3 linked regions of the Bombyx mori genome follow. The protein of the gene in region 3 interacts with the protein of the main gene of each other region in a pairwise test. Links are inferred from orthologs where the notes say so. Each region holds a gene or a part of one and is shown on either strand. Other genes may lie near its edges.

The links.
Region 1: the proteins of myosin-VIIa (region 3) and cadherin-99C interact in binary tests that used the Drosophila melanogaster proteins (3 or more experiments, as listed by UniProt). The link is inferred for Bombyx mori from reciprocal best matches to the Drosophila melanogaster genes ck and Cad99C.
Region 2: the proteins of myosin-VIIa (region 3) and calmodulin interact in binary tests that used the Drosophila melanogaster proteins (3 or more experiments, as listed by UniProt). The link is inferred for Bombyx mori from reciprocal best matches to the Drosophila melanogaster genes ck and Cam.

What each region holds. Positions count from the first base shown.
Region 1 is NC_085112.1:10,965,350-10,976,094, reverse strand, and holds part of cadherin-99C, read right to left. Parts: coding exon 10,605-10,745; intron 10,140-10,604; coding exon 10,044-10,139; intron 8,858-10,043; coding exon 8,704-8,857; intron 7,889-8,703; coding exon 7,593-7,888; intron 6,762-7,592; coding exon 6,534-6,761; intron 5,162-6,533; coding exon 4,896-5,161; intron 3,916-4,895; coding exon 3,697-3,915; intron 2,307-3,696; coding exon 2,180-2,306; intron 1,358-2,179; coding exon 1,255-1,357; intron 353-1,254; coding exon 22-352; intron 1-21. UniProt on the Drosophila melanogaster protein: Cadherin that functions in epithelial morphogenesis and the intestine epithelial immune response. Essential for female fertility. Regulates the length and organization of apical microvilli in developing follicle cells and salivary glands.
Region 2 is NC_085129.1:639,902-651,239, forward strand, and holds the start of calmodulin, read left to right. Parts: upstream 1-5,307; 5' UTR 5,308-5,386; coding exon 5,387-5,389; exon of another isoform or gene 5,390-5,964; coding exon of another isoform or gene 5,965-5,967; intron 5,968-9,077; exon of another isoform or gene 9,078-9,452; coding exon of another isoform or gene 9,453-9,467; intron 9,468-9,737; coding exon 9,738-9,912; intron 9,913-11,338. UniProt on the Drosophila melanogaster protein: Calmodulin mediates the control of a large number of enzymes, ion channels and other proteins by Ca(2+). Among the enzymes to be stimulated by the calmodulin-Ca(2+) complex are a number of protein kinases and phosphatases.
Region 3 is NC_085110.1:14,510,496-14,521,966, reverse strand, and holds the start of myosin-VIIa, read right to left. Parts: upstream 5,786-11,471; 5' UTR 5,680-5,785; coding exon 5,656-5,679; intron 3,013-5,655; coding exon 2,752-3,012; intron 2,313-2,751; coding exon 2,034-2,312; intron 1,742-2,033; coding exon 1,457-1,741; intron 1,198-1,456; coding exon 1-1,197. UniProt on the Drosophila melanogaster protein: Myosins are actin-based motor molecules with ATPase activity. Unconventional myosins serve in intracellular movements: can function in cells as a single-molecule cargo transporter.

The sequences.
Region 1 (10,745 bases), on a different chromosome or scaffold from region 3:
GAAAATAAATTTTATACGTACTTCTGCATTCCGGGTATATCGTCGTACGCCATTATGGGTTGAGTTTTCTTCTTGTGATTATTCCCGTTGATCTTCCTACCTAATGTGGCGGCTAATAATCCACCACCGACATTGTTATTGTTGGCACGGGGCAATGTCCCGAGAGCGTTGTTCAACGCTTGCGAGTTCGGCATCCTTCGGTTCAATGTCTGTGTGTTGCGCGCTATGGACGCGTTGTTCGCGATAGGATCGTAGTGGCTGTTGTGGAGTTTGTTCAGAGTACCCCCGTTTTCATTGACGCTCGAGGCTCGAGCTGTCGTCGCTGTTTCCGATAACGTTGGACTTCTCTCACCTGAGGTGGATAAGTTATATCGTACAATCTATACTATTATTAGTATTATAAAGAGGAAATACTTGTTTGTTTGTTTGTATTGAATAGGCTCCGAAACTACTGAACCGATTTGAAAAATTCTTTCACTGTTTGGAAGCTACACTATTCCCGAGTGACATAGGCTATAAATCTCTTTTGAAAAAAATAGGGATCCTTACTAAAACTACAATAATGTAACCCAAGGTGTAAAACAATTATTACCTAAAATATTCTTTACATCGCGTGCCCTGCGAAAACTATTGATGATAGAATAAAATAATTTACAACAAATTTGTAGAACACATTATTATTTATAAAAAGTTTAACGACAGCATATGTCTAACTATTATAGTTACGCCGCAATAAGTGTTCTTATATTTAAAAAAATAAAACAATATAATAAAATAGTACAGTATTTTTTTTTAGATAATCTATATTCAGTTTGCACTTAGGTACTGGGACAGGACTTCAAATTTCGTAAATCTTACAATGTGAAGCATAAATTCAGATTTACTTTTTCCAAGTCTCTTTTGTCAGGATTAGTGAGTACTTTGGAATTTTATAGCAATTATTTAAGAAAATAATTATACAAAAGACAAACCAATGATATTGTATTTAAAATTAAAAAAATATTTCGAAATCTTCAAATAAGTTTCATTGGCGTGTTTTTTAAAAAATCCCGTTTCTAATTATTAAGTCAATATTAAAGTAAAAACAAATAAGTAAGATATCAGACTGTAATGTCAAGTTGCATCGTGTGTAAAATATGTTTATATTTATTATATTTTATAACAGTGTGAGATGTGAATTACCTATTTTAAGAATCTTAAATTGTAACGTCATTTTCCATTTACTTGAGTTTTACAAAGGTCGAATAAACTCACCATTATCTTTGGATAAATATTGAACGTTGTGTATATTGAACGCGTGATTGTTTGGACTGAAGTCTAATTGCAGATCCGCGTCATCGACCGCCATATTGAGTACCTGTTAGAGATGCGAAATTCTATTAAAATACAAATAACACAATCTAAAATATGATTAAAACAAATAAACGTAAGAGCTAATTTAAAACGAAGATTTTTCACCGACACGATTATCTGGACGACATTAGCATCTGCTAAAAATAATTGAAGTCATGAGTGAATGAAGGGGTTAAGTACCATTTTTAAGATTTTTGGTTTTTTACATGAAATGAAGGCGTTATGTGCCTATAAACCATATTAGACCTTAAAACGACTGGTTTCAAGGCTATTTTTAGAAATTTGCATGTGTTGAAGTAGTCATTAACGAAGAAAAATTACAGATAACAAATGGTTGTTGCCAGTTTTCTCAAAATTAACAAATGGTATCATATCTTCTCTTCATCCACTCGTGTCTTCAATTGCAACATACCCCAATAACTTTTGCAACATACATCAGTAACTTTTAAAAAAAAAACTTTATCGTATCCGTATTTATTTAGTAAATTTAACTAGATCACCAAAATTGATTCTGTGTAAAACAAAAGTATTGACTATGTTATTTAGATTAAGTTAAACCTTCAAGGGCTTCTAAAAGAGGATTGAAAAATCCTTGCCAGCGCCATATCTATTTCTGGCATTGACATTGTCGATAAGCGTTAGTGAATGTTACTAATTTTATTGTTATACACACATATCGAGACATCTCCATAATTGATCCTTCTCATATTCCACTTATCCTCCAAATGGAGGTTGATAGACCATAGTAATATTTAAATAGAGATCATTTTGTATGGGTTGCGGTAAATGTTAGTAAATGTCTAGGAGAACTTGAAACTTATAGTACCTGTGTTTCATATCTCGGTGCGGGGTCATCTTCACTGGACTCGTAGCCAGACGGAGGACGAGGAGGCGGCATGCTCATACTCAGAGTTCCGTACTGTTGAACCGCTTGCTCTTTGTGTTTCTTATACCTTAGAAATGGAGTAAGAACAATTGATACATGATTTAATAATATTATGCACGTTGTAGTTATTGAAGTGAAACTTCTTTAGAATCGTTGTGATTTCAAACTCGATGAAACGAAAAAATAAGTATAGGATTCAGCCAGCGAGAGAATGAGATAGAACACATTAGACGTTCTCGGTCTCCTCTTTGTGCGACTCTTCGTAGCATCCCCACTATCGTCTACTCAACATTGTCCGTAATATGTATGCTCCTGTGTAGTGGGATAGTTAGTATATCTGTATCTATATCTTATTTATAAGTTTCACTTCTACCGTGTGTGACTTGCACACACACACACTTTTTGCTAATTAATCTGCACCATACCGATCAATAACGGTGTCATTATCATAAAGATTGCATTTAAAGAAGTATATGTCTCTTTCAATCCCCTCCTACTGTCATTCTTTTTTGGAATAAAAGATATCTGACAAAAATTTGGATTGTGGAAACGACATTTTCAAGGCAAAGTTTCAAACCATATTCGGGTGGTGGACCTGTTCGATAATTGTAGTATTTTTTTTGAGTTTTGCGAGTCCTAAACATAATTTAACTACTTTTAAGACGACATTATATTGTTATTGCGATTGATCGCAATAACAATATAAATATATGTATATAGAACAAAATAATTGGAACCTTAAATCTAAGGAGTGTACAATATTCTTTTGTTTTTAAAGTACCGTAATTATTAGCAAATAGTGATTATTGGATTTTTCAGCGCGTTCAACAATCAAAAGCTACTGCTACTATTGTATGCCGAAACAAAGCCCGTAGCCCTTTTTTCCCCTACCTGAGCTGATAGCCTTGAGAGGCTATGTCAGCGTAACCGGGCGAGTAGGTGAGCTCACGGGGCTCAAACCGGGAGCGTTGCTAACACTGGCCCTAGCAAGAGCAGTGCTTCGCGGAATCTACCACCGGATCGGAAACGCGACCCGCTGAGAAGATCCGGCGAGAAACTCAGCGGGCTGCGCGTAGCCCAAGACCGATCGTGAAAACTCCTCTCCTTGGGAATTTCTCCCTCCTCCTCGCATCATTTCCTCACTGCTGAGGGTCGTGACCATTTATGTCGACAGGATTTTGCTCCTTGTAATGTCCCGCCAGCGTCTCCGATCATTGGCCGCATGAAGGGCGTCGTGGAATGGGATCTCTAGTGTGGTGCGGATTTGGTCGAACCACCTTGTCGGACTGCGCCCGCGCAGTCTCTTTCCCTCGATCTTCCCTGTCACGAATAGTCTCTCTAAGCTATCCGGTGTTTTCCCAGCAATATGACCGAAGTACTCGAGTGCGCGGCGAAGGCAGAGTGAGGACAGTCTAGTCTTGATCTTCAGTTGAACTTAAACTAATACAAACATTTACCTGTTCCATGAGGCGCAGATGTAGATGGTGGCGACCAGTGCGGCGACCAGTACGACGGCGGCCAGGCCTATCAGGGCGGCGGGTAGGGCCGTGGCGAGCGGCGCGGCTGCTATGTGAGGCTTCTTCGGCAATTCGGCCGCTAATAAAGGAGCTCGAACTTCACTGACTGGAGACTGAAGCCGAGCAGCCACCGCTTTGTGGACCCCAGTCTCTATGGCCCTATGAAGATAAAAAAAAATGTGTGTGCAAGCAAGTCAGACACGGAAGAAGTGAAACTTATAAATAAGATATAGATATACTGACCGTCCCACTACACAGGAGCATACATATGGACAATGTTTAGTAGACGATAGTGGGGATGCTACGAAGAGTCGCAGAAAGAAGAGACCGAGACCGTCGAATGTGCTCTATCTCATTCTCTCGCCGGCTGAATCCTATACATTTATGTGTTTGTGTCTCTATGGACTTATTTTTTCGTTTTATCGAGTTTGAAATCACAACGCTTCTAAAAAATAGTATTTGAAGTCGTCGTGGCCTAAAGGTTAAGACGTCCGGTGCATTCGTGTTGAGCGACGCACCTGTGTTCGAATCCCGCAGGCGGATACCGATTTTTCTAATGAAATACTTTTGATTGTTTGTTCGGTGTATTTCATTTTTTTTTTTCTTCGATAATCAACTTTATGACTCTTCCCGACATCTATTGGCGAATAATAATACTATTTTTCATAATTGAGAGCAACTAACTGCTTTAAAGACACAATAACGCTAAGGCTATTTCAGCAGATGGCGTTGTTAAGCAACCCGAAGCCAATGAGTGTTTGGTTTAAGGTTAGACCAAGAAAATGAATTGTATATTTATATTATTTGTGCATTTTTAACTCACGTGTTCATTTACTAAATGCCTAAACGATCTTGGAATATTTCATCATGTTATCAATATGTAATTCGTATTTAAATATCATTTCTAAAAAACACAATTTATCAACAAAAAAAAACTCGGTCATCGTCTAGTAATAAATAATAATGCGAATATCATATGCTCTAAGGTTTCCCAAGTCATAAGCATAAAAATTAATTTACACCACTATTTCGACTACTGGGGAACCACTAGTATTATATAAATGTACTAGGAATATATGAGACAGAGAGATTTATATACATATAAATATAATAGGTAATGTCAATAATTGTCTACTCACTTCTGCACAGGCATAGATTCTCTAGTCAATATTTCGCCAGTACTAGGTTCGATTAGGTAGAGCCAAACGTCGGTCCCACGGCTGTCGCTCTCCAATGTACCATTCTCTCCTAGATAATGTCTCGACGTTAACTTTTCTAGGCCGGCGACCAAACCGCTCTTCTCTTCTATGACCGATAGAAGACTTCTGGCTCTCCGGCGCATCGCATCCGGATTCAAATCCGCTATTTCCAATACCAGTTGATTCTCTTTTTGTAATAAGTTTATCTGTAATTAGCATAATTATAATAATAATTATTATTTTATTGCTTAGATGGGTGGACGAACTCACAGCCCACCTGGTGTTAAGTGGTTACTGGAGCTCATAGACATCTGCGACGTAAATGCGCCACCCACCTTGAGATATAAGTTCTAAGGTCTCAGTATAGTTACAACGGCTGCCCTACCCTTCAAACCGAAACGCATTACTGCTTCAAGGCAGAAATAGGCAGGGTGGTGGTACCTACCAGCGCGGGCTCCCAAGAGGTCCTACCACCAGTAACATTATATTGTTCTGTATAAATGTAACAGTATATTGTTTTTGTATAAAGATAGATAGATACAGGTCTAGGAATAGATAGGAATATGATCTCTAAGATAAGATCTCTAGGAATAGATAGTCAGATAAAGATAGAAAGGTAGAGATAGAGGTGAGTGAAGGTCACCTCGCGTGTAGAGCTTCAGTGAATTATTGACAGGATTACATTACTGTGGTAGAGCTGTAGTTATGTATTTTGTAACAGGTTTTCGCTAGTCGCAGACATGATTAAACGTAATTTTACGGTTTAATCACACATTTATTATTGTTATTATAAATCGAGGAGTGAAAGGCCATTTGGTATAAGCGAGATTTCGCTTAAAAACGCGACATTTACCTTTGTAATTAAAGGTCCGTTTTATTTGGTATTAGCATCAACATTTCGACGTTTTTTAATTGAACTTAAATTAAGTTTACTCCATTCAAATACTAGCTGAAGATTATTTTTTTGTTATGGATTTTTTTTCAAATTTTGAATTTTAAATGGCTCTTCTGTAAGTTTTTTATTTCCCTTGCAGGCAGACGGGCATATGGCCCACCTGAAGGTGAGTGATTACTGTCACCCATGGATTTCAGCAATACCAGGGGCAGAGCCAAAGCCGCTATCTACAAAGTTGCAAAAATGTCGCTTAAGCCAAATAACCTTTCATCTGTCGTTATTATTTCCGCCATTTAGAATGCTTTACAGTGTTCCTGATGAAAAACTATTGCGTATTAATGTTTTATTTCATCTTAACTGAATAGAATTTTCAGCCCACACTTATAGGTATCATTAACTTAGTCACTACTGTAGAATTGAGACTTAGAGCTCAAGCGTCAAGATGGCGGCATTTACGCGTTAATATCTGTGAGATCCTATGAACTAGGTAACTATACTTGAGACCTTAGAACTTATATCTCAAGGTGGGTGGCGAATTTACGTTGTAGATGTCTATGAGCTCCAGTAACCACTTAACAACAGGTGGGCTGTGAGCTCGTCCTCGTCATCTAAGCATTAAAAAAAAAGATCCTATGATCACTTTACGCCGTGAGTTATGAAATAAATATGGATCGAACACTTACCACAACCGACGCTCTGGCTATATTATAGTCCTGTGGCGAATCAGGGTTGTCTCTCGCGGTCACGCTGAACTTGAACGGCAGAATGTCCTTTGGAACGTTCTCGAACGATTTTATATTGCTTATGATCCCCGTGTCCGCGTCCAGACCGAAGTACTCTTCGGCCGCTTCGGTCCACGAGTTCTTGTGGTATTCTAACTTGCCGTAAGCGCCGCTGTCCCGATCTTTCGCCTGAATAAATCGATATTTGAGTCGACTATTATCAAAGGCGGCAATCTGACTTTTGGACAATGATTGGTAAATCAGAAAAACGAATTATTGACTTTGTATTCCATTGGCAGTCACAAAACTCTTCGGAACGACATCTTAGATAAATAACAGGTTAACTATTAACCTTTATTTAATGCAGGTTTTGAACCGTATTCTTTGAAGGAGACGATTATATTCAAATAAATCTGTATTGACATATCAATAAATTTTTTTTGTCCAAATGTACAGATTGCCACCTTTGATAATAGACGACTCATTTATTGTCGAGTAAATAAAGAGTTGTTTTACACGACAAATATTGTTTGTGTATAGTATTTACGTTCGATGCTTTACCAAAATGAACTTTAAATGTACGACAAAAGATTGAAATTTATCTCACGTATAGCACTTTAAGTGAGTAATTATAAATCAGCACGCATTACTTCTTTGTTACCAGGAGTATATGATAGGCATCTAATAGCTTTTCTCATAGTCTGCACATTCAAAAATGACTCGTGTTAGTCTATGTAAAAGTATTTTTTTTAATATTTAAAAGTAGTTTTTTATATTTAATCAACGAGAACGATCTATTCAAAAAACCGTGTGTTTTCAATAGTTCAACTATTGAAAGCTTAATTAATTAAATCAATCATTTAATAATTAATTGAATAATTAAATTTAAATAAAGTTGAATATCTTTTTTTTTTCATTTACATAAAATTAATTTTGAGTAAATTTAAATTAAACTAAATAAATAATAAGATAAAATTATTAACAAAATTTCTTTTTATTTTATTTTAAATTTCATCTCACCTTTACTTGAAGAACGTTGGTGCCCAGAAGCATCTCTTTATTGACAATAGCGAAGTATTTCCCTTTCGCGGCGGCCACAGTGGACTGTTCGTTGAACACAAACACGGGGTGGTTGTCATTGACGTCGGTCACATGAACTTTGACGAGCGCTCTACTACTGTCGGGGTTGATCAGACCCTGTATGGACTCCAGTTGTACTTCCAGAGAATACTCCGATAGTGTCTCGTAGTCTAGCGAACTCGTGTTAAGGTATATCGCGCAGTCGCGGTCTTCTGTCAGCTTCACGTAGAATATCCCTGAATAAATCGGTTAGTATAAGTCGTCGTGGCCTAAAGGATAAGACATCCGGTGCATTCGTATGTAGCGATGCACCGGTGTTCGAATCCCGCAGGCGGGTACCAATTTTTCTAATGAAATACGTACTCAACAAATGCTCACAATTAACTTCCACGGTGAAGGAATAACATCGTGTAATAAAAATCAAACCCGCAAAATTATAATTTGCGTAATTACTGGTGGTAGGACCTCTTGTGAGTCCGTGCGGGTAGGTACCACCACCCTGCCTATTTCTGCCGTGAAGCAGTAATGCGTTTCGGTTTGAATGGTAGGGCAGCCGTTGTAACTATACTGAGACCTTGGAACTCATATCTCAAGGTGGGTGGCGGCATTTACCTTGTAGATGTCTATGCGCTTCGGTAACCACTTAACACCAGTTGAGCTGTGAGCTCGTCCACCCAACTACAAAATGAAAAAAAAAGGTTTTGTTTAAAGTAAGGATGAGCAACACGCGGCCCGCCAATCATTTCTATAATTGAAATTTATTTTATCGACCTTCTCCCATAAAATCGTTTTTCTGTTGTTTTCTTAATTGTTTTTATTAAAAAAATAATGTTTCGTAAATTATTAATAAGAGATAAAAAGGGCGGCCCGCCAAAAAAATTTAAAATTAAAATGGGCCCATTGATAAAAAAGGTCACTCACCCCTGGTTTAAAGGGATTCCACACAAAACGAAAATAGGGTAATCTTGGCCATTTTTCTATTGATTATTTAATTATGCATTTCATAATATCAATAACCACATAACCTATAGAATAATTAACGCAATCTTACCTTTTTGCGAAGATTCTGTGAGTAAGCATTTTAGAGGCGTGTCTGGGGAATGTTCCCTTTTATTGAGTAATGGCAACACTCTAACTAGGGTACCGTTGGGCGAGTTCTCGGCAACGTGTTCCGTATACACTGTATCAGCGAAACCTAAGCCGACCTGATGGACGAAGAAAAAATATTGAATTAACTTAGAAATGAAGAAATAGCATCATTAAAAAATTAAAATTTAATTTATATTAAAATTACGTAGCAGTTTTTAGTGAGTTGGGGGATATAAATTAAATAACTGGGAATAAATCACGCACGGTCATCTGGCCCCTAATTAGGAGTCCCTGTGCTATGGATACCAGAGACTGACACACAAACTTGTTTAATAAACACCCAGAAAATGAGCATAAAAAACTGTTCGTTACACGAATGTTTGTTCGATGTGGGAATCGAACCCACGATCCTCGACGTTGTCACTTTCCATCCTGCCTATTTCTAAAGAGCTTGTTGGTTCTTTCCATTCTGCCTATTTCAAAAGAGCTTGTTGTCACTTTCCATCCTGCTTATTTCTAAAGAACTTGTTGTCACTTTCCATCCTGTCTATTTCTAAAGAGCTTGTTGTCATTTTCCATCCAGCCTATTTCTAAAGAGCTTGTTGTCACTTTCCATCCTGCCTATTTCTAAAGAGCTTGTTGTCATTTTCCATCCTGCCTATTTCTAAAGAGCTTGTTGTCTTTTTCCATCCTGCCCATTTCTAAAGAGCTTTTTGTCACTTTCCATCCAGCCTATTTCTAAAGAGCTTGTTGGTTCTTTCAATCCTGCCTATTTCTAAAGAGCTTGTTGTCATTTTCCATCCTGCCTATTTCTAAAGAGCTTGTTGTCTTTTTCCATCCTGCCCATTTCTAAAGAGCTTTTTGTCACTTTCCATCCAGCCTATTTCTAAAGAGCTTGTTGGTTCTTTCAATCTTGCCTATTTCTAAAGAGCTTTTTGTCTCTTTACATCCCTTCCTATTTCTATAGAGAAGCAGTCAAGCGTTCCTAAATCCAAACATTCAGCTTGAAGTGATGTCATCCACGTTTTAGTATCTATGGGCTTCGATAATCAATACTAAGGGTCGTGAGCCCATAAACTTTTATCTATTGACATTTTCCTGCCTACCTACCTCTCTGCTCTCATTCTTAATACATTTAGAGCGCGTACTTACATCAAAGAATCTTTATATAAAAAAACCTTAGTATCAACGAATTAAAGACGAGTTTTCAAGAAATATTTTTTTAGTTCTATTATAGTTTTTTTATCTCTACTATTCTACTACTACTACTGCTGCTACATGTGTAAAAAACTGAGCGCTTACGTCAGGTGGAACGGTTGCCGAATGGCTCACGTACACCGTTAGACTGGTCACCGATGACATGACCGGATCGCCTTGGTCGTAAGCTTGTACGTCCACCTGTAATGCACACGAATTTGGTTTTAATCATTTCTACTTAGCTCGTAGGTACCAGCGCTCCGCCTATTGCTGCAGTAATGCGTTTCGGTATGAAAGATGTGGTGATAGAGAAAGGTGGGCGGATGTGTTCACGTTTCTGTCTGTGGCCTAACCATTCGGTCTTCCAAAAGAAGAACGAAGAAAGAAGAAAATTCCATCCAATCTGAACTCAAACCAGCACGTATATGAGATTCATGCCAGCAAACCTCTTGTGAGACCGCACAGGTAGGCACCACCACCCTTCCTAGATGTTGTAGATGTCTATGGGCTCCAGTAACCACTTAATACTAGGTGGACTGTGAGCTCGTCCACCAATCTAAGCAGCAATAAAAAAAAGCTCATCACCCCTGCCTCAAGGTCAGGCAGAGGGGGGTCCCTCGTAAGGAGACACGAGGGCTCAAGACAACAAACCAGTATGAATCTTACCGTATACTCGCTATCCGTTTCCTTCTTCAGATCATCGCGAACCCTCAACGCACCGGTGTCGGGTTCGACGTGGAAGTACTTGGACGCTTTACCCCGACCCACTAGTTTGTACCGGACTCTGTTGTTCGGTGACGTCGCGTC
Region 2 (11,338 bases), on a different chromosome or scaffold from region 3:
AGGTTTTTCGCGGGAGGGCCAGAAGGACAGACGTGGCGTAGTATTTCGACCTTAAGATCTATAATGCCTTCGAAGTTCTGTAGATTCCCGACGGGCCGCCCGAAGGGCCTAACGACTTATAGGTGTTTATTGGAGAGCACTACTAATTCATGTGCAGCGCCTGTATTTAAGGTGGCTTACACTACTGGTACTTAAGCAATAATCGTTAACGTGGCGTTTTTTGCTTGAAATGAGGAATAAGCAAATGATTCTCTAACATAGTCACTCGGAGGGTACTACAGCTTAATTTTTTAATAATTATGTAAACGGATACAACTGTGAAATAAAAATATTGAAATCATATTGTAAATTGCAATAGTCTAGCAAAGCGTTGAACGCGGAACGTTTCACTTCAATTTGTCAGCGAAAAAATAATATTAGCCGAAGGCAAACTTTAACGCTGTCTCCACAACCGGTCCGGAAATAAGACGCGACGTTCCTCAGGACGCGACGGAAGGAACTAGCCGGCTTTGTTTTTTTATTTATTTATTAGCAATGCAATCTTTAGGAATGAAACAAAAATGTTTATTTTATCCAGTTGATCCAGCGACGCAGATTAACTGTAACCCTTTCATGCTAAATAATCTCAAGATTTTCGAAATTGAGTGTTCAGAGCAAGTGGAAAGGGACAGGAGTAGTGTCCAATTTTATAAAACGAAAAAATACGGTCCGATGCCTTCTGGTTCATTAATGATCGCCGAATGGTTGATCGCCCACCCTGCCTATTTCTGCCGTGAAGTAGTAATGCGTTTTGGTTTGAAGGGTGGGGCAGCCGTTGTAACTATATTTGAGACCTTAGAACTTATATCTCAAGGTGGGTGGCGCATTTAGTAGATGTCTATGGACTCCAGTAATCACTTAACACCAGGTGGGCTGTGAGCTCGACCACCAATCTAAGCAATAAAAAAAAAGAATGGTTAGTTCATGTTCCGTAGGTAGTGCTAAAACCTCATCATCGTCTTGACATGATCTCTTCATCAGTGTTTTACCACTGCATCGCCCTGCGTTGCGACACATTTCATCAGTCATCACCTGGAACCGCGGCCGTGATTTACAATACGCTTCCAAATTTTTGCCTCATACTAACAGTCTCTACAACCAAATGACACCTCACATGATACACGCTCACCTACTTTGAAGACACTCAAAACCTTCTTAAAGTAAATTAAGCTTCAACATGTGCTACTCTATGCACGCCTGCTAATTCCCGAAGAACGCCTTTTTATTATAATATTAGGTTTTGAAGCAAACCAGTTTTTTTTTATGGGTAAAATAAATTAAGCCGTATAACAAATTATTTTGGTTTTATTACGTAGTTATTTTAATAAAGGTTCATTGCCTTTAATTCGACGATATTTTCTTTGTCTTCCTTTCCTAAATGGTATCTACTCGTGCTTCTGTTTACAAGTCTAAGATTCCACAAAGAACCGCTATTGTCCGTAGTGTGTTGAATACTTGTGTCCTCTTCAAACATAACGTCAATATTACGAAATGTCTTTGTTCCGTCACCACTGTGCTTAAACTCATTATTGAAAATTGCTCTAATAAATAGGGAAGGGATCTGTGCTTAACCGAAATACTGAAAACAACTCAAAATAAAATCATAAAACATCTTTTTTATTTAGAATTTTTCGATGTTTCTAGCAAAAGTACAAATTTTAATGTTGAATAATGCAATTTTAATTTATAATGTAAAACATACGATAAATTAAAAATAATAAATGATTGGTGCATGTTTTTGTTCAAGATTACGTGAACACTCAGCACGTCCTGACACGTAAGATTGAAGGCTTATCTGTATTGATAGAATAACAGTACTATCCCAAACTGATAGCAATGCAAGAGTCTTATAATATTAATATAAACAAAACAAAGGATCTTTAATGAATAATCTATTTCTACCACAACCCTGTGACGTTCGTCACACATAATAAAATTAAAAGTGTAGTTTGCGCCTAAAGCAATTATTAGAACCCGAATGACACTGGCAGCCGAAACCGCACCCCACTCTCACTAATTACACTAACAAATTAATGGGATTACTCACTCAAGAACACGCCATCTAAACGTATGGCAAAACGTTTTTTTTTTAAACAACATAATTAAAATTATTATGAACCTACTTAAAACATAAAGATCGTGCATCGTTATTCGTGGCGAGTTATTTGACAGCTCCTCGTAATATTGCAAGGGCCACGCGGTGTTAGCAGCGGCCAGGCCTCATGGGCATCACAGCATACCTGCCGCCATCCACCTGTAGACGTGAAGCCTCCGTCATCAAGTATCCGTTGTATTGAATAACGGCTATCCCACACTCCCAACCGGAACACACAGTGTTTTGTGGAGGAAATGGACAGGAGGGTGGAACTAGCCCGTAGGCTCATGTTAGCTAGTAAAAATTTGTTGACGTCGACCATGAATCGAGTAAAGATATCATCGTAGTACGATAGTCGGTCAGCGGTCATGACAGTCGGATAAACACCAGCACGTACACCCCTAACAGGACGAGCGGTATAAAACCTCAGCGATCGATCAAATTAAAATTTCAACGGAATGCAATCGAACATTCCAGAATAATTCCATTTTGTTACTAATACACCAGCCGGGCCGTGAGCTCGTTCATACATCTAAACAATAAAAAATACTAGTAGAAACAAGATATACGCTTCTCTAGCATATACAATACTATATAGTTTGAACCGTATCATAGGAGTATACTAAGCCTGGAAGTGCAATAAATAGATGTACAAAATTTCAAGACCATCGATATTTTTTTTCCTACGTGTTCTAGTAGCCTCGAGGCGTTATTCTAGATTCATCCAACTAGTAGGTGAGTTCGCGGGGCTCAAGCCTGACAAGCCATCGAGTAAAAGACGCTACCTAAGGATGGAGCACAAACAACGAACATATTATTATATTATTATTTTAATATTCATTATTAATTAGATACAAATAAAAATGTAGTTGTTATGTATGTAGTACTACAATAATTAAACTATTGTATTGTATTACTGTAGTATAATTATATAATTGATAACAATAATATCATTATTGTAGTAGCATTATTTACTGTATACAAATGTGTTTTTATTATAAAGTCTTATCTAGAAAAACTATGAAAAATTTCGAATATGTTGGGTAAATTTATTTTTCATTCTGTGTTGGTATAAAAGTAAAGCATCTGATAATCCACCAGTGTGCTTAGTGCGAGCTTTTTAACTTTCTCGATAGCGTAAAAGTTAACTCAACTTTAGATGGAGTTGGAACGTATGCCGCTAGGCGCGCTATTCCAACTGCATACAAATTTGACTTAACTTTTACGCTATCGAAAACGTTAAAATACTTGCACTAAACACACAGATCGTGAGTGGTAGTCACTACTGCATTTATCGTTGCCAATATTGAAATACCAAAAATCACATTGTGAGTCCGCGCGGGTGGGTACCACCACCCTGCCTATTTCTGCCGTGAAGCAGTAATGCGTTTCGGTTTGAAGGGTGGGGCAGCCGTTGTAACTATACTTGAGACCTTAGAACTTGTATCTCAAGGTGGGTGGCGCATTTACGTTGTGGATGTCTATGGGCTCCAGTAACCACTTAACACCAGGTGGGCTGTGAGCTCGTCCACCCATCTAAGCAACAAAAAAAAAAAAAATCCAATCCTTTATTAATACATAAATATTGTATTTTAATGACAAAAACCTTACATACACGCAAAGAAACTTTAAAACAATTTACTAAAAAAAATTAATAATTAAACAAATACGAGTTAGATGATGACTTCAAGTGCGAACAAAGTATTTTAATGTTCACAATGTAAAAAGTAAATTTTAATTAAACAATGCCCACGGAGCTTGTGACAATTTAGCGGAAAACTTTCATTTTTCAATTTAGTTCTATAACTCAATCACAGATGGTAGTACTGTCATCTAAACAATGGTGATGTGTTTCTTGACTTGCATAAAATCGATACTTACAATCGACAATCGATTGTTTAATAAAATTGACAATTAATTTTTTCTCTTAAAATGAGTTAAAATTTTTAATATTATAATATTATAACTTTAAAACCATCTAATCTGAAAGGATGAAATGAACATTATTTAAATATAAGGTTTTACAGTACAGAATTCGTGATTGCCCCTTTAGCTACAAAAAATCTTTTTATGGAAATGATAAATTAAAGTTATAATCTGCATGCCTTTCATTACATTCATTTTCGTTTCTATAATATCTTCTACAATGTAATAAGAATCTCTTTGTGACTAGTACTAATCTTACGGGGTTCTTACAATGAATGCTTCATAAATATTTCCGACGTGTGTTTTTAATTACATCTCATTGCACACATTGTAAATAAAAATCCTCAAATAACAGTGTCAAGCTAGGTTTTTCTTGTATTATGTATACTGGAAATATATACACGAGACGAGAACAAATATACCTAGAGCCCCAGATGCTAAAAATATTTAAGATACTAAATCGAACCTGAAGCCTTTGTTTGATTTTTCAGGGTCAATAAACACGTAAACAATAAAGCGATCATAAACAATCTACAAGTTCATATTTTTAGTCTGCTTTTACGTATCTTTAAATAAAAGAGATTACTTTGGTAGGTACTATCATAATTCAATTGTCTATATTAATTGGTAGGAAATTATGGTAATTGTTTTTTTGTTTTTTAATTTTTTATTATTTCCGGCATTCCGATTGTGTGCGAATCATACGGAAGATGATATTGCGACAAGATAGGGCAACGTTTACTTTCAGTAGGAATGCGTGTGTGGGGGCGCGGCGTCGGGAAGCCCGTGTTATCTCGTTAGCGGCGCCTGCGGGCGGCACTGCGGCGCGGATCTGGGGCAGCGGCGCTCGGGAGCGGGCACGGGCGGGCGCCGCTCTCGCTGGCGTGGGGCTCGCGGCCGCAGTGACGCATTGCAGGTGCGCGGCGGCCAATCGGCGCGCGCCGGTTCGCGCTCTACGCCGCCGCACCCGCCCCTTATAAAACCGACTATCCTTTGCAGAGCAAATTTAATCCTGTGTTGTGCGTCCCGAAACATGGACTTGGACGTTCCGAGGATAATCATTGTGTAGACCGTTTCCGCCCTGCAGCTTGCGAAACTAACCTTCTCGTGAACGAAAGACGGATATGACAGTGCGACGAATCGAGTAGTCGATTCGGAACGATTCGCGGCCGAGCTCGATCCGAACCGCGATCCCGAGTTTCTCAGCGAGGCCACTCGCGCGAGTGAGGGCGGCAGTATCGTTTCAGCCGTCGGTCCGTGCGGTCGCTTTTGCGGCGTAGTCTGTGATTTTTTAGTGTAGCTCCAGATAATCCAAGTTAATCTACAATGGTGAGTGCTATTTCTATTGAAAGGTGTCGGGAGTGCCTTCAGAAGATCACGAGGAACAGTTTCCGGGTCGTATTTCGGAGAAGTTATGCATCGGTGTTTATAGTGATGACGGCCTCCATTATATTATTGTGATGGCCGTTTTTTTTACCGCATTGCGGATTCGAGAAGTATCAGAAGGCGTAACTGAAGCCTCACAGCGAGGCTTTCGAAATAGATAAACTTCAAAGCAGTGTTGAAAGCTTTAGATTTTGCGATATTTAAAAACGAGCCTATGCAGAAACAACGGTCGCCATAATCTAATAGGTGGTGCCGGTGAAATTACGTTCTTTAATTTGCAGTAGGCCGTTAATGTCGGTTGAAATGGCGCAGGGACGTCGTTGGAAAGAAAACAAATGGCTTTGTAGTTTGGGCATATTGTCGAAAGGCCGCGGCCGCTGTTATGAGGATCGATCGCCGGGCGCAACTGTCAAACGCTCGTTGACTCATCGTCATTATCTGATATTGTACCTACGTAAAACTCTTTTCGTTAGACCGTGTTGTTGTACATAACATATCATCTGCTGTGAAATTCCATAATGGTAACTAAACTTGTCGCTTTCATCGTCGTACGGTGCCACTTATAGTAACAATCATGTAAATAAGTTTTTGTTTATCAAACCAAAACTACAGCTGTAATTCTTTTTCTTTTTTTTTTCGAAAAAGTTTAACATGCTCTTGTTATATTTTAAAAGCTGAATTCTGGTGTCTTACACCAAAATTTCCTTTGCTTGAAGTTACAGAAATTAAGAATAAATCGACGCTTGAAAGGCAAACTTGACTAAGCGACTATAACTGCTTTGTACATAAATGATAAGCAATAACCATATTCAGTGCGCAACGAAAAATAAATTTGTAGGTCTATTAAAATCATTTCAATCATACAGCTAGATTCATTAAAATAAATTTTGTTTTCAGGTATTTCAACTTTAAATTAGTCTACTGTAAAGTTCACGCATTATCGCTTAGTCACGTTTGCCTTTCAAGCTTCGATATGAATACTTGAAATCACAAGGATCGGTGTAGTCCCTATTGCCTACAGTATTACAGTTTGTTCCTGACTAAATCCCTAGCCATTATTTTTTCTATTTTATTTCAGCGGAGAATACTCATACTCGTGTTTAAAAAAATTCATTGAAAGTTTTTTGCCAGTAAAATAATGGGGATTGGGTATGTGGGGTATAATGGTGATATTTTCCCTGCAGCCATTCAAAGTTTTTGTTATGATTTATTTATTGTTCTAAGTTCGCAGATCATGGCTATGAATGTATATAAATTCATACAGAAAGAATCTGCTTTTTAATCTTATTCTAATCTTTAACTATTTTTTTACATCCATTGTTCTAGTAATAACTGTGCTACTCAATAAAATGAAGTCATGAAATGTTAGCTTGAGTATAATAAATAATAAACTGGTGGTAAACATTGATAAATGCTAAATATGCATTCTCAACTAAGGATAAACTTGGTATAATTAAGTTAATATATTATTATAACACCTAAAGTGTAAACATATGTTTAAGTTAAATATTTTTGTATATATCTGAAATTATATTTTTTTCTAATGTGTTTGAAAATCCAAGGAGTTGAGATTAATCTGAAGCTCAATTTAATTGAGTTGGGAAAAAGAAAATATGAAAGAGTTTAGCACATTCTATCATACATTATGAGAACCATTGTTAGCACCTATTGGTATAATTAATAGAGGTCTTTCAATGTGTCGAGGCTTAGCGGAGGCATTCTCATACAACTCTCCAGTTAATATGTAGGACATTGTGGGCTGTAAGCTATGTTTCTCACTACATTAGAATATCTGATAATACAAATCATGTAAAAAGGGCAATATATGTGCAATATTCTTTTCTAAAATAGCTAAGGCCAAATTATCCATATTTAAATAAATGTTCAAGTGACATGATAGTGTAATATTTACCTACTAACTACAATTGGAACTAAAATTAAGATAATAAATTCTTGTGGCCCTGTCAAATGTAGCTTAAGCGATTCTTAGGCTAACATCATTTTGGTACCCTCCGATAGTGCTTAAAGAGACTATTCACATCTAATAAAAAAGAATCCATTAAGCATGTTTATGTATTAAAATTAATTTATTAAAAAGGGAGTGATATTTCAGCTCAAATGATTATTGTCTCTAACAAGCTGAATCTAAATAATAATTCAACATTAAAAAGTGTAGTTGTATCGGAATTGTACAAAAAATGTTAATTTATGCCTCATACATTTGTGTTCCTACGTTGAATCATAACTTAGGTATTTCATACCTATTGCCTACTGTGTAGAATACAACATAGTTATATCAAGTAATATTAGTTTTATTTTTACTGTGTCAATGTGAACAAGTTAGTGACTGTGCATCACTATATTTTTTAGATTTATTTGTTTAGTTATTCATGTTATTGATAACTAAAACATAGTTAAATTAAAAATATATTGCTCTTAGTACAGTAGTATCCCATTTAAGCGGCCGTGAATTCGAGATTGGACATACATGGAGCTTCTTGATTTTCCTGGAAAAAAACTGGCTCTTAGCAATGTGTCTATATTTGAATTTTGCTTGGCACTTGCTTTTCGCCCACAGACCATGACTTGACTAATCATCAAACTTTCGGCCCACAACAACCAAATTTTTTTATTATTATTGCTTAGATGGGTGGACGAGCTCACAGCCCACCTGGCGTTAAGTAGTTACTGGAGCCCATAGACATCCACAACGTAAATGCGCCACCCACCTTGAGATATAAGTTCTAAGGTCTCAATTATAGTTACAACGGCTGCCCCACCCTTCAAACCGAAACGCATTACTGCTTCACGGCAGAAATAGGCAGAGTGGTGGTACCCACCCGCGCGGACTCACAAGAGGTCCTACCACCAGTAATAAATAAAAATAGTAGTAAACTGTCAATACTTTGATGGTGGGGTATTTTCTAAATCCGCCTATACGCGGTTCTATCATCGTGTGCATATTTCTAATGTTAAATAATCTTGCATTGCGTTTTAAATAGTCGATATGTGTTAGTTCAAAGTAACTAGGACTTAAATCTTGTTTCATCCGTGTGTGGATTCAGTAACCGCTTAAATTCTCTCTACCCATTATGAGGGATAAAATGCAGAGGTTTCAATTGTATTGATCGATTCCAAACGAACGCATTAGTGCTTCGCTTCGTTGTTGAGATAACACTATAACTTTACATATTGGTATAGGCCTACAATACTCTCTACTTCCACTAATTACTTAGGTAAGTAAGGCTGTTCTCAGTACACCTCAAGAATGCCAGGCGCCTAGTCGAATGGCAGTTGGCCGTGAAGTACTTTAAGTGCTGTACAATACAGCCGTGCATTATTCGGATCAATTAAACATGAATCAGCGGATCTATATGTTGAATACGTTTCAAAATGATATTGTTATCAAAATAAACTTTAAAGAGACTATTCTGCCTGAGAGTATGATTATATTTTATGTACATGCAAAACATGTACAAGTGTTAGTTTATACGACAAAAGTTGTAATTTTAATGGTATGATTGAAATGTGCGGTCGTGGAACATCATAATATATATCTTACCGAGACTAATCGCATAATTATTTCAAATAATATTTTTCATAAGGCTTACTTCCATGTAGGCTCGGATCCAAATGTTTGATAACAACATTTTGTGCCAAATGAGGTTATTTTGCAATTTCAGGAATCTATTTGAATCAAACTTTATCGGAACTTGTGGATCCACGATTGTGGCTTGTGCCATCGTATTACTAATTATAGCGCGAAACGATTTAGGCTAAATTATAAATTCGGTCTAAAAAGTTTATATCAATAACAATAAACATTATCGCAAGCCATAATGATAAATGTTCCAATGCAGTATGTTATATTTATCTGTGCCGCATTGTGACGTGTCAGTTTGAGTAGGTAATTATACATAATCTCTGCCTGGTATCTTATCGGCAGAGTTTTGTTGGCACTTTGCCAGTCTGCCTGCCGGTCTTCTGTTGCGAATCCTCGTCTACTATGGTCGTCATGGCTGTACGTATAGGCTTCTGCTTGACAGTTTTTTTTAATGTCCTTTACTGTGGCGTTGAATCATGCAGTTCTTTTTTTTAATTTGATTCAATTGAGGTTTTGTGATTGAATGTTTTGTAAAGTTGTGTTTTTTTTCAGTTAGGAAGTGGCTGCCTTCAATTTGCGATAGATTTTTACTACCTATTGTTTGTTTTTTATTCGTTTTATGATAAAATATATACGCAAATTTGATTAAAAATAAATAGTGTTTTAAAACGCTCATAAATATTGCAGGCGGATCAGCTGACGGAAGAACAGATCGCCGAGTTTAAGGAGGCATTCTCACTGTTCGACAAAGACGGCGATGGCACCATCACGACCAAAGAGCTGGGCACCGTGATGAGGTCGCTAGGACAGAACCCCACAGAAGCCGAACTTCAAGACATGATCAATGAAGTAGACGCGGACGGTGAGTACACATAAAACCATATGATCTATGCAAAATAATTAAAAATAGAACACTGAAATTTCCAAAACTGTTATAGAATCTGCAAAATATTTCTTCAGCCAACCGCACTCTAAAAAAAAGTATTTTAAAACGTTTCAGCCTATGAAAAGTGGCGTTACATAATGTAATTCCATACATTTTGTTTCACTTCAAATGAGAATACCCTAGTTAATGAAACACGCGGTAAGCACAGATGAAATAAAGCGGTCGCTTGAAACTACCCTCGATGTAGCTTATACAGTGTGTTGTAAAGTTTTATTGTTGTCGTGAATGTTCGGTCAGTGCTGTAACTTGCATTAAAAATGTTTACTACCTACCCTCGCGGGAAACGTAACGATAAAACTTGTTTATTGTTTAGCAAATTTTTAACTAGTTTGTCAACTATGTTACAAAATTTACGACCAGTAGTGTGTCATGATGTAAACTTTAATTGCATAGTTAGGACAGACCTTTTTTATCCCTCGAAGCAATATCGTCGGAAGAAATTCTAGGTAATTTCGATCATATTCTTCATAACGGCTGTGGCCCCTGATTTAGGCAGAGCTACATTTAGAATTTGCTTGAAACAGTTTTCAAGTTATCCTAATGAATTAGCTCATCTAATACAGAATTTTCTTCTGTAATCGGTGTGATATCACCAAAGATTATCTCGTTCTGGCATAATACAGTCTAATACTTCTAACGGCTGCGGTGCTGTATATGACGCCCATCAATTTCAACATGACACTTATTGGTGTTTCACAAAATTTATAAGGTTATGTTGTAATATTGCAATAAACGCCGAAACATTTACGAGAGGGATTCACAGCACAATTCAATAAACTTATCGTAACGTGAAAAAAAAAACTGATTCTAATTAAAACTAAAGTTTGATGAGACTAAAGTTTCAATACTTCAATATAGCCGTTTCAATTAAATGTAACGTAATGAGTTGATATCTACCCCCCTACGCCGACTCGAAAATTCCTGTCTCCTATATCTCGCTCGCTTTATTTCTATTATTTCCATTTCCGATCATGCGGACCGAATAGTAAACAGTCCACGTCGCCCAAAACACGTCATTTCGGATCCACCCCATCCACTAACGGTGTTTTTAGGTACTACAAGCACCGGTCATCGTTCTCGTCGAACCCGTCGCTTGCGACGAAGGGCTCGGCGAGTAAATTAACCCACAGATACAGCCCACTGAGTCTCTCGCCGGATCTACTCAGTGGGTCGCGCTTCCGATCCGGCGGTAGATTCTGCGAAGCACTACTGCTAGGGTTAGTGTCAGCAACGTCGTCAGATTTGAGCCCCGCGACCTCATCTACACGTTAAGGTTACGCTGAAATAGTCTCTCAAGGCCATCAGCGTAGGTAGGAAAAAAAATATCTATTATTTCTGGAGT
Region 3 (11,471 bases):
TCTATATCTTTCGACAAATTCCTTAAAACTATGTCTTATCGGATAGCCGGCTCTCCGGATTCGAATAGTTTCCATCATTCCGGAGTATCTAAGCTGTCTGCAACAAAGGCCGCGATCGAAGAGCATTGGTTTTTTAAATTCATTCGGTTTGATACAGCGAATGAAGAACGGCTGACAAGTCCCTAACGTTCTCATCAACAAGTCTAATGATTTTTTGAACTGCGTTGACAACGTCGGTGTCCGTTTCCTTGTTTCAGAGCCCATGACGATATCCTCTTGGAATATCTGCTGTAAGAATTTATTCGTCGATATGTGAATTAATTGCAGTAAGTCAGCACTAAATGTGTCTCGGTTTTTCTCTAAGAATCCCCGTGTGTCGTAAAAAACTATTCCAGCGAAATGGTTTAATCCGAAACTAGTATTAATGTCAGACTTTGGCTTAAGGTAATTTCTGTGGAGACCGTGCGTCTTATGAAGTTTAGCTAGCATAGTTTGGTCAGTCCCTTTTGGAAACTTAGATTCTTCGTCTATCAAAGCCATAATGTTTAGCTGTTTCAAAGCAATCAAGTCCAAAGCATCCTGATTGTCAACAAACTCGATGTGTTGCCAATTTATGCCTTCATGGTTATATTCTTCCTGTTCCAATTTGAAAATGTGCCTGACGAAAAACTGTTGTAGATTCTCGTTTGCGAAGTTAATGCAGAACTGTTCAAAACTGTTGTGATCAAAGTTTTCAAAACCAAATATGTCAAGGACACCAATTGCAGTTCTTGTAGTTGACTTGGGTTTGTAAATGGCCGCGTTGATTTTCCTGACAATAGTTACGAATAGCCTACCGTAAATTCCTTTCACAAATGCATCTCTAATGTCAACAGACTGATCTCTGCTTAGTGTTGATATAACAGTTTCTCCGTGGGCAAATAGTGTTTTTCTAGTCAAAGCACGTATAAGAGATTGTAAGGGCACACCAAGTAAGTTGGCTACCTTTCTTACATTCGCTTCTTCTGTAATTTCAGTGGCGTCAAGGTTATCAACAACAGTCGCTTCGTACTTTATGTTTCCACAATGTAAGACTGCTGCCAGTAATTTTAAAATTTCCCATATTTCTGATTCTGTGAATAATAACACTTTCATTGCTGATCTAATGTCTGCGAATTCTGCAGCGTCATCTCTGCCCTCGCACGAAAAACTCCCGCCCTGAAATAGAAATAGTAATTTTTTTATCATAAACGCAAAATCGTGTCTAGGATCGATATCAGATCTAAACAAGCACGCGAGGATATTATCAAAATATGTCAGATATAAGCAATCAAATAAATAAAATTTTAATGTAAAATAACAATCTCTTAATGTTATTGCTTTTGTTGATCTATGTGACTATCGAACATTAGATTGATAACTAGATATCAATATGTTTTGGTTAGAAAGAGTTATTTTCGAGACATGAAACACTCACCGCAGACAGATATCTGTATTCCGAAGGGTCGCCTAATTCCAATTTCTTTTTATCGTCTTTGGATAATCCAGCCAGTAAACAATAAAACACGTGATAGTTCCTCTCCTCGGTGCCTTGGGATACAATCCTAGATTTCTCCAACAGATATTGTTCAATTTTAGCTCCCTCTATAACTCCAGAGCTATTGAAATGTATATCTATATATTTTCCGAATCGCGAAGAATTATCATTTCGAACTGTCTTCGCATTCCCAAAAGCTTCTAGAATTGGATTAGCTTCTAAAATCTGAAACGATAATATATTTATTGTTTCTTGTTATACAAATTTAGAATAGAAAATAATAATTGAAATAAATGATGTCGGATGTAATCAGTAAATACAAAACATTAAAATCATTTTTTAGCTCCATAAATACCTTATCTAATTAATATATACCAAATCTAGTGTATATTAACCGCCATATCTATACCGATATCTAAATTAACAATTTAGGTACCAACACTATTAATTAAACTTGCCTTTGATATGGGTAGTATAAATCCAAATACTATAAGAAAATACAAGATTCATTCCTCACCTGTTGTTCTATCCATGAATGTTTACCGCTAATCGCAGCAAGGTATTGAAGTATAAGCTTTGTTGACTCCGTCTTTCCAGCACCCGATTCCCCGCTGATAACGATGCATTGATCCTGATTATATCTCCGCATGTGTGCGTACGCGTTGTCACCAATCGCGAATATATGGGGTGGTAGCTCGCCGATTTTTCTCTCCTTGTACAGTTTGATCTGGTCCGCCGTGTAGATCGGTAGTATCTGATACGGATTCACCGCAACTAATATCGATCCGGTGTATGTCTGGAATATCGAGTATTTTCATTCAATTTTTTTTGTTTTTTTTTTATATTGCTTACATGGGTGGACGAGCTCACAGCCCACCTGATGTTAAATGGTTACTGGAGCCCATAGACATCTACAACATGCGCCGCCCACCTAGAGATATAGGTTCTAAGGTCTAAAGTATAGTTACAACGGCTGCCCCACCCTTCAAACCGAAACGCATTACTTGTTCACGGCAGGAATAGACAGTGTGGTGGTACCTACCCGTGCGGACTCACAAGAGATCCTACCAACAGTAAAAGACCAGAATTACAATAAATTCATTATTCAGCTAACATTTATATGATAATGAATATTATTCGCATCATAGTGGAAATAATACTACTATTGGTATTTTTGGTTACTAGTAATCAAAACAAAACATTTACTGTCATGACTAAACAATTAGCATACTCACATAAATAAGATTTTCATTGTACCGGATGAGGAGATTCCTTAGTATACCGGCCTCGTGCAGATCGCCGAGTGAGATCATATCCTCGACTCCGTGCACGGAGGTCGCGTGCATCGCCTTGATGCGGCGCTCCGGTGGAAGCCATTGCTCGTTGCCGTCGTCGTCCCGGACCCGGATCCGACGTCCCTCGGCCGCGAGAACACGTGCTCCGATCGCCACGTCGAACTCCCGCCCCGACACCGGCTCGATCCATATGTAATCGCCCTGTAACACAAATCATCAACAATAGTTATTTTTACACGCTTTATTACTTAGCTTCACTTGTATGTATGTTTGTATGTTTGTAACTGACTCCTTTAGACGCGATTTTGACCCACTTTAAACGGCCAGATTTCATTCAAACTTTGTAGATTTATCGAGGACCGACGACAATACACTAATTTGATTACGTTGAGCACCCCACGCTTTTTTTACAATAAAATATATATATTTTTACACTATTTTCAATTTAAATTTATTTAATTTTATTTTCTATTTTTTAGTTTAATTTTATATAAAACGTGTTTTTTTGTTTTTTTAAACTATTATTTTTTGGTATTTTAAAATGACTACGAGTAACAAGGCAAACAAGAAAAGGGATTAAAGAAATTAGGGGAACATGGATCTCTGTAGATAACGATTTTGATATGCTATTTTATATTTCTCACTTATTACTAGGCAGGCCGTGAGCTCGACGTTGAAAAAAAAAGAAATCATTCACTATTTTGCATCATATAGATTTCGCGATAATCTCAATGAAACAGGTTTAAATCTGAGGATAGCATTTAATTTTCAAAGTTTTGTAAATAACGGCACGAGCTGTCTATCTGCTTAATTATAATTTATCGTCGTAATAATTTTTTGTAGCGAAAATTATGTAAAATAACTCGTATTTCGTTAAATTGTTTTCGAAAATATAAGTATTGGTTATAAAAAGAAGCTAAACAGCAACGATGTAATTCAGAAAAAAGGATAAAATAGTCACATTGTAAGAAATCTTCTATTTTTCTTATGTAAGTTATTATTAGACCAAGATTCAACGAGGTAGACTTTAATCTGAAATCTGGAAGTGGCGGATGAAGTGTTAAAATAAATGAAGATTAGGAAATAAATACAAAAAGCATTACTGATTAATTCAATTGGTCTAGTTGTCACAGTATGCGACTTTATATTTATAATTCTACTAGCTTTACCCGTCCGCTTCGCTGGGCATTTAAATTTAACATTACTATTTCTCACCCCCACAAATATTCTCATCATTAACGCCCCCGCAACTGGTGTAGGGAGTCCAACATTCATATAAATATTAGCCTATCCATTAAGTACATGTATTTTCTACATGGATACCAAGTTTCAAGTCAAACGGATGTATGGTTCAGTAGTTATAACAGAACATCCGTAAAAACCACTATAGATTTATATATTAGTATAGATAAAATGGTATATCTTGATCACGAACACGGGTTAGTTAAGTTTTTGCATAAGTTTCTTTGTTCTTGATACATTAATTTAAAAATTTATAGTTTTATTAACATATTCTACTGCAAAAGCATAAAATATTTTTTAAACATATTTTAATACTTTTTAAACTGCAGTTTTAGGCATTAAAGTCGATATAAATTGGGAAATTTAAGTTTGCAATAATACAAAAATTGTGCATTTGACAACTATAGTAAATTACATTTCTATACATACATAATAATCGTAAACTGTTTCATTGTGTAACTGACAATTTATAAGTGACGCAGAATGAAATATGTCATGATGACAAGTAAATTTTTTTAACATATTTTTATTTTTCTGTATTGTTCAAAGGTCAATTTCATTGGTATACACCAAATGCGAGCTTTACTCAGAAGTGGATTGAGCTGGCATTCCAGGTAGAATAAAAAGAGTAGCATAGATCATAGATAGCGGAAAAGTTTCCAATGAATACAATATTGCATGCGATTTCAAAGTAATCGTTTGGAAACGCATCCTAATACAAACAAGACAATGCAAGGCACTGCAAAAGGGTACCGAGTAATGCATGCTTAAATTTCTCTAAACTAGTTGTTAATTTGATTATATTTAATAATACAAAATAAATAAAAACAATCTAAGTGTGGCTAATATACTTAACATTGAATTTATAGTCGATTACATTGGCCTTCACTTATAAATTCAGTAAGCGAAATGAAAACAAAGACAATAAATGCTTCTAGGAAGTAAAATATAGAAAGTGACATCCCTATTACTGCAAACGAGTTATCCGATCATTATCAATGATATTGCGTGAAAGCGTTAACTAGTTATTTAGATACTGTAATTTGTATACGCCGACTTTCGTATGTCGTTACAAGTATAATCCGAATGTTTGATATCTCATTATGTTATTGTAATAAATTTTTATGAGAAGTGCATAAACATTATTGAAATGTTTACTGAAATGAGTATATGTAAAAAGTAGAGTACTCTTAAACAGATTATAATGTGCATCACGCAAAAGATGCATCATGAATAAAACCGTCTATAACTTATTGAAGGCTTCAGGATAATGGACCCCTAATTATATTTAATATCTTATCACTTTCATTTTCTTAATAGGAAAACTGAACTAATAAGTAATCTTTCATACAATCATGCAAATTAATTCAGAACTATTAAAAGTCCAAGGATATTTAGGTATAGGCATCAATTAATGGTTTTGTTTTTGACACCAATATAAATTAATAAATATTTACGTTCCCGTTGTATTACTACATTCATAATAACATAAATTATTTAAAAGATTGCACGTGCCTAATTCACCTAATCATCTCTAGAAAGGGCGTCCATAATAAATACAACAAACTTTCTATTAATTTCAATGAATAAAAAGTTACTGACCTCAAAAGTCAAACAAGTTTCCATCTTCGTACATTATAAAAAGCACAGAATGCAATTGTTTTACAACACAGCACATTAAATGTTAACTGTAGGAATCCACAATAGATGTTTTATCGTAAATTTGACACTGATTCTGACCTGAGTATGCTCCGATACATCAGATACGAATAAATTTTATATTGAGTATACTTATTATATTTATGGTTCATTAATGTAGACTGAATATTTTCATTTTTATATTATTAGTGTAAATAATTAATTTTCGTTTTTGGGTCAATTAGTGCGATGACAGTTTTATGCGTGGTCTGTGACGTATAAATTGAAAAGTACATATTATGTATTAATTCCAACAAAAATATTGATTTATCTATATATTAATACGTGAAGTAAAAACTTTGTACCCCTTTTTACGAAAATTGCAGGGACGGAGGAGTATGAAATTTCTCACACTTATAGAGAATATAGAGGAGTGCACAATGCTAATATTTTTTTTAAATAATGCATAAAAGATACTTTAAATCAATAAAGAAAACATTACACACACTACCATGTATTTGACACAACACATACATAAAAATATACTCTTTTTTTTTAATTCTTTATTAGAGCCTCTTTGTTTACTGTCAATTGCGAAAGTTTTGTTATTGTTTAAAGTCTGTGGTCGAATTGAAAATAGATTAAAATTGTTTGGCTTTAATATTATTAATCTGTAGTGCAGTTTTGGCGAATACTGTGATTATATTATCGAAATATGTGTTTGACAATAGAATCATAATAATGTTTAAACTTATAATTTCAATTAATTATAGTCGAATCTCGACTACCGCGGGGCCACTAGTATTAGTTATAATGAAACTTTTAAACGTAAATTGGATGGAACTAGAAACGGTTCATTTTCAAAATTGATAATCAGGCATGCGTTCCTGTTTGAAGGGTGTGATAGCCGTTGTACAACGGTTTTGTAATTCTGGCAGTCTACTTTCTATAACTAAATTTCATAAAAAAAAAAAACTTAACTCTTTTCAAAGAAACTTTGAAAATAAATGAAAATTTGTACATATGAACTGTAAGAAATTTAACATCTTATAAATAAATTGAAAAGCATTATTATGTTTACGATAATGTTCATTTTAATACAATAACTAGAAAGAAACGCTTTGTTCGTGTTCTTCCAACACGTGTTTGTATTATTGCAATAAAACGACAAGTAAATTAATGAGTCACAGCTTTTCTTTCTTTTCTTTTTTCTCCTACCTAAGCTGAGAGCCTAGAGAGGCTATATCAGCGTAACCTTAACTAGTAGGTGAGCTCACGGGGCTCAAACCTGACGACGTTTGCTAACACGAACCCTAGCAAGAGCCGTGCTTCGCAGAATCTACCATCGGATCGGAAACGCGACCCACTGAGAAGATCCAGCGAGAAACTCAGTGGGCTGTGGCTAATGGGTTAAGGGGAATCATAGTGTATTCTCGAAGCATTTGAATTAAATCAAGCAAGTTACGTTACATACTTCACTAAAAAATGCAACAAATAATTTATTAGCACATCAACTGGAATAGACATTCGCCATTTCATAATAATTGGTTTTTCCAATGGCTTTAGAGGCAGGCGTGGGCTGTACTGTATTGAAAATAAAACGGATCACCAATTAAGTTACGAAACTAGTTCAATCCAAATTAGTCAATTACAGTACCCGGTTTCATCCTAAAGATCCGCCTACAGCCGTTGGCGCCTGAACTGATTTAGATCACTTCTTATTTATTAATCTATACTTCTATACTAATATTATAAAGAGGAAAGATTTGTTTTTTTGTTTGTTTCGAATAGGCTCCAAAACTACTGGACCGATTTGAAAAATTCTTTTTCCATTAGAAGCCGACATTGTCCCTGATGAACATAGGCTACTTTTTTTTTTTTTTTTTAATTTTTTTTTTTGTTTCATGTTTGTTTTAATGTTTCCGAAGCGAAGCGAGGGCGGGTCGCTAGTCATATTATAAAGCTGAAGAGTTTGTTTGTTTGGTTGAACGCGCTAATCTCATTTCGAATTGAAAAATTCTTTCAGCGTTAGATAGCCCATTTACAATATAACATCACACTAAGAGCAATACGAGCAGAGTACTAATAAAGAATGTTTCAAAATCGTTTTTTTTTCTTCCTTTTGAGACCTTCCGGTGGGTGCGCTGCAGAAACTGTTAAAGTTTCGCTAAAATAATATATGATAGAATTGTTCCCCTTTAAAAGTAAAAGTAAACCAAATTTGTTCTAAAAGAAGCATTATTTGTGAAGATGTTTTTATAAAGATTATAGTAATCCTTATCCATATAAATACGCTATTCATTACTAGTACAGAGGTGGCACAGAATAAGAAGAATAACAAGAAACACCCAAATCATTTCAAAATATTATGCTTTGAAAATTGTGGACTTTTCTCGATTTCTCCAGGATCCCATCATGAGATCCTGATCCTGATGATTACAGAACCATTCGGGAAGTCTACCCTTTTGAAGAAAAAAAAAACATAAAGAAATTATAAGAATCGGTTCAAGCATTCTCGAGAAATCGGTGAACATGCATAGATAAAAAAATGTAGTCAAATTGATAACCTTCTCTTTTGAAGTCGGTTAAAAAGCGTGATATTCGTAGCTTAAATAGCTCCTTAATATTCTATTATTCAAAAATATTTTCACCTTCTATGTAAATGAAGTCGTGGGCAAAATTTATCGTTATCCTAAAGTAACTATTCCACGCGGACGAAGTCGCGGGCAAAACCTAGTTTATTCATAAATACATACTAAGCTATCCAAATTACTTTTTTTTTATTGCTTAGGTGGGTGGAGGAACTCACAGCCCACCTGGTGTTAAGTGGTTACTGGACCAATAGACATCTACGACGTAAATGCGCCACCCACCTTGAGATGTAAGTTCTAAGGTCTCAAGTATAGTTACAACGGCTGCCCCACCCTTCAAACCGATACGCATTACTGCTTCACGGCAGAAATAGGCAGGGTGGTGGTACCTACCCGTGCGGACTCACAAGAGGTCCTACCACCAGTAATAACAGTAGTTTGATCAATACGTAGTTTTACTATTTCCTAGGAAATTGAAATATTTCACCAGTGCCATTATTTTCATCTAAATTTATTAATAGATCCTCCCGATCCACTCTCGGCACTCCAAGCACCGTTTTCGTCGAAAGCGACAAAGAGTTATATTACATATGTATACAGGACACCCTTTACATATACGCGTATATTATAGTTGCTACCACTGCTATTGACTTCAAAAAAGTAAGTGAATTATGAAATACTAGCTGTACCCGTCCGCTTCGCTGGGCATTTAAAATTAACGTCATTATTTCTCACCCCCACAAAGATTCTCATCATTAACGCCCCCGCAACTGGTGTAGGGAGTCCAACACTCATCTAAATATGCTATCCATTAAGTACATGTATTTTCTACATGGATACCAAGGTTTAAGTCAATCGGATGCGTGGTTCAGTAATTATAACGGAACATCCGTAAAAACCACTGTAGATTTATATATTAGTATAGATTGGATACAGCGGTCAAATCAGAACAATAAGTCTTCCACAATTTCAGGTTAGATCAGGATTTCTCAGATCATAATAAGAATTTTTTGGCAAGCCTCTAATTTTGTTACATTTCTGTTATATAATGTGTGGCTTTTACAAATCTTGAGTATCATCACATCAAGAAATAAGTTTAAAAATTCTTTAAATATTTGTAAAGTATGATTACGCATTCAACAATCATAGAGTTACTACCATAAATCCCATTATTAAAAGATTCACACATGGCTATAGAAACTTAATTATATTCAAGAAAAAAAGACAATGCCATAGCCATTCAATTACCAACAATGATGATAGTTTTAATTGAAACGTCTCACATTCACATGGTGTGTGTGTGTGATGTGTGTGTGGTCAGCGAGGTGAACGACCCCTGAGTCGGATTCTGTGGCTGATGGAATGTGTTGCCAAACGCAATGATCGGAACCCGCCGACTCGAGAAATGTACCGCTTTGGGAAATAAGTAGGCTTTCGGCGAAAATTTACTTTTATTTATTAATGCAAGCACAAGCTGGACAGTACTGCCTCTGTCATGGGAGCTCCAACACTGATGTATTAAGCCGAATGTGCGTTTTAACTTTTCCACAATTGACACTTTTATACAGTAATTGTGACTCTTTGCCACTAGACCTAACTGGATTCCATCCCTTGGCTTGGGCCCGCGGTCCGGTCCTAACATTGCGGACTGTTCAACTTTTTACTGGTGGTAGGATCTCTTGTGAGTCCGCACGGGTAGGTACTACCGCCCTGCCTATTTCTGCCGTGAAGCAGTAATGCGTTTCGGTTTGAAGGGTGGGGCAGCCGTTGTAACTATACTGAGACCTTACAACTTATATCTCAAGGTGGGTGGCGCATTTACGTTGTAGATGTCTATGGGCTCCAGTAACCACTTAACAACAGGTGGGCTGTGAGCTCGTCTACCCATCTAAGGAATAAAAAAAAAAAAAAAAAAAATACCCGGCACGCCCCTTAGATGCAGGAACCTCGTAGCTACACGTTAAGATAAAACAAAAGATGACGTTAGAAGAAAATGTCTATGAGCCTATTTTACGTGGTCCTTTGATGGAAATGATGAAAACCGGACGAACATAATTTAAAAAGGGACCGTATTCATTTTCTTCAAATTATGCTAGTTGAGAAGAAATTTTACGTATTTTCTCAACGGTGAATTAAAAAAAAACATTTATTCGTTTACTTCAGAGCCATTAATTAGAACTACAAACAAAATTGGGATACGTTTTGCAATTGAAAATAGTAGTAACTGTTTTGCTTTTCGTAATACAGAAAACGTATGTATGTTTCTTGCAATTGACCCCTTTGGAACCGGTAGCTAGTTTACACGCTACAAACTGCTGTTTCGAAAGATTTTTATAGAAATTTTAGAACAAATTCGAAATACATAAAATTGATAATTAAGGTTACCTTCACGACTTCATTTCACGTTTAAAAATCCCACATTTCAAAAAGTCTTCCTCTTTGTGTGAAGATATCAAACATGCAGAGCTTAAGATAGTTTTCGATCTATTTGTGTGCTGTTATATATCTGTACTGAACCCTAAAATGCTGATATCCTCGAACCGCTGACTAGACGGTCCGAGGTAGAGACTTTAGAGGAGACCGGAGAACAGGTAGTAGAGAGTGAACTGTCTTAGAGTAGGGGTGTGGCTACCGGGATTGCTCTGAGAGTTATCATCTATTATTGTGTAAATCAAAAAAATAGTTCGTATCCTAAAAGTTTCCTTTTTTAAAACGAATTCAAAGTAAATTCCCATAACAGTGCAAAAACCGAATATTTCAATAAATAACTTTATAGAAAAGCAGACGGTAGTTAACACAATATTTAAATGTCGACGAATAGCAAGCACCTCAGTCATCACTAGTCATCACTGGCCACGAAATCTATAAATAAATTCTTTCTAATGTTGGATATAATAAAATTAAAATAATAAAACAAGATTAAACTATAAAACTTGTTTTATTGTTAGATATACATATGTATATGTTATTTCGAATGCAGTCACAAAAAAAAAACTACCAACCAAGATCCGTCAAGTTTTAATTCCTTTGATTCCCTTAGTTATGTATTATATTTAGTAATTACTAATTTTTCTAATCGTAAATATGTATTTATGAAATATTCACTAATGTCTTCCACGGCAAATGAACAACGTTGTGTATTGAAAATCAAATCCGAAAAAAATATAATTTGCGTAATTACTGATGGTC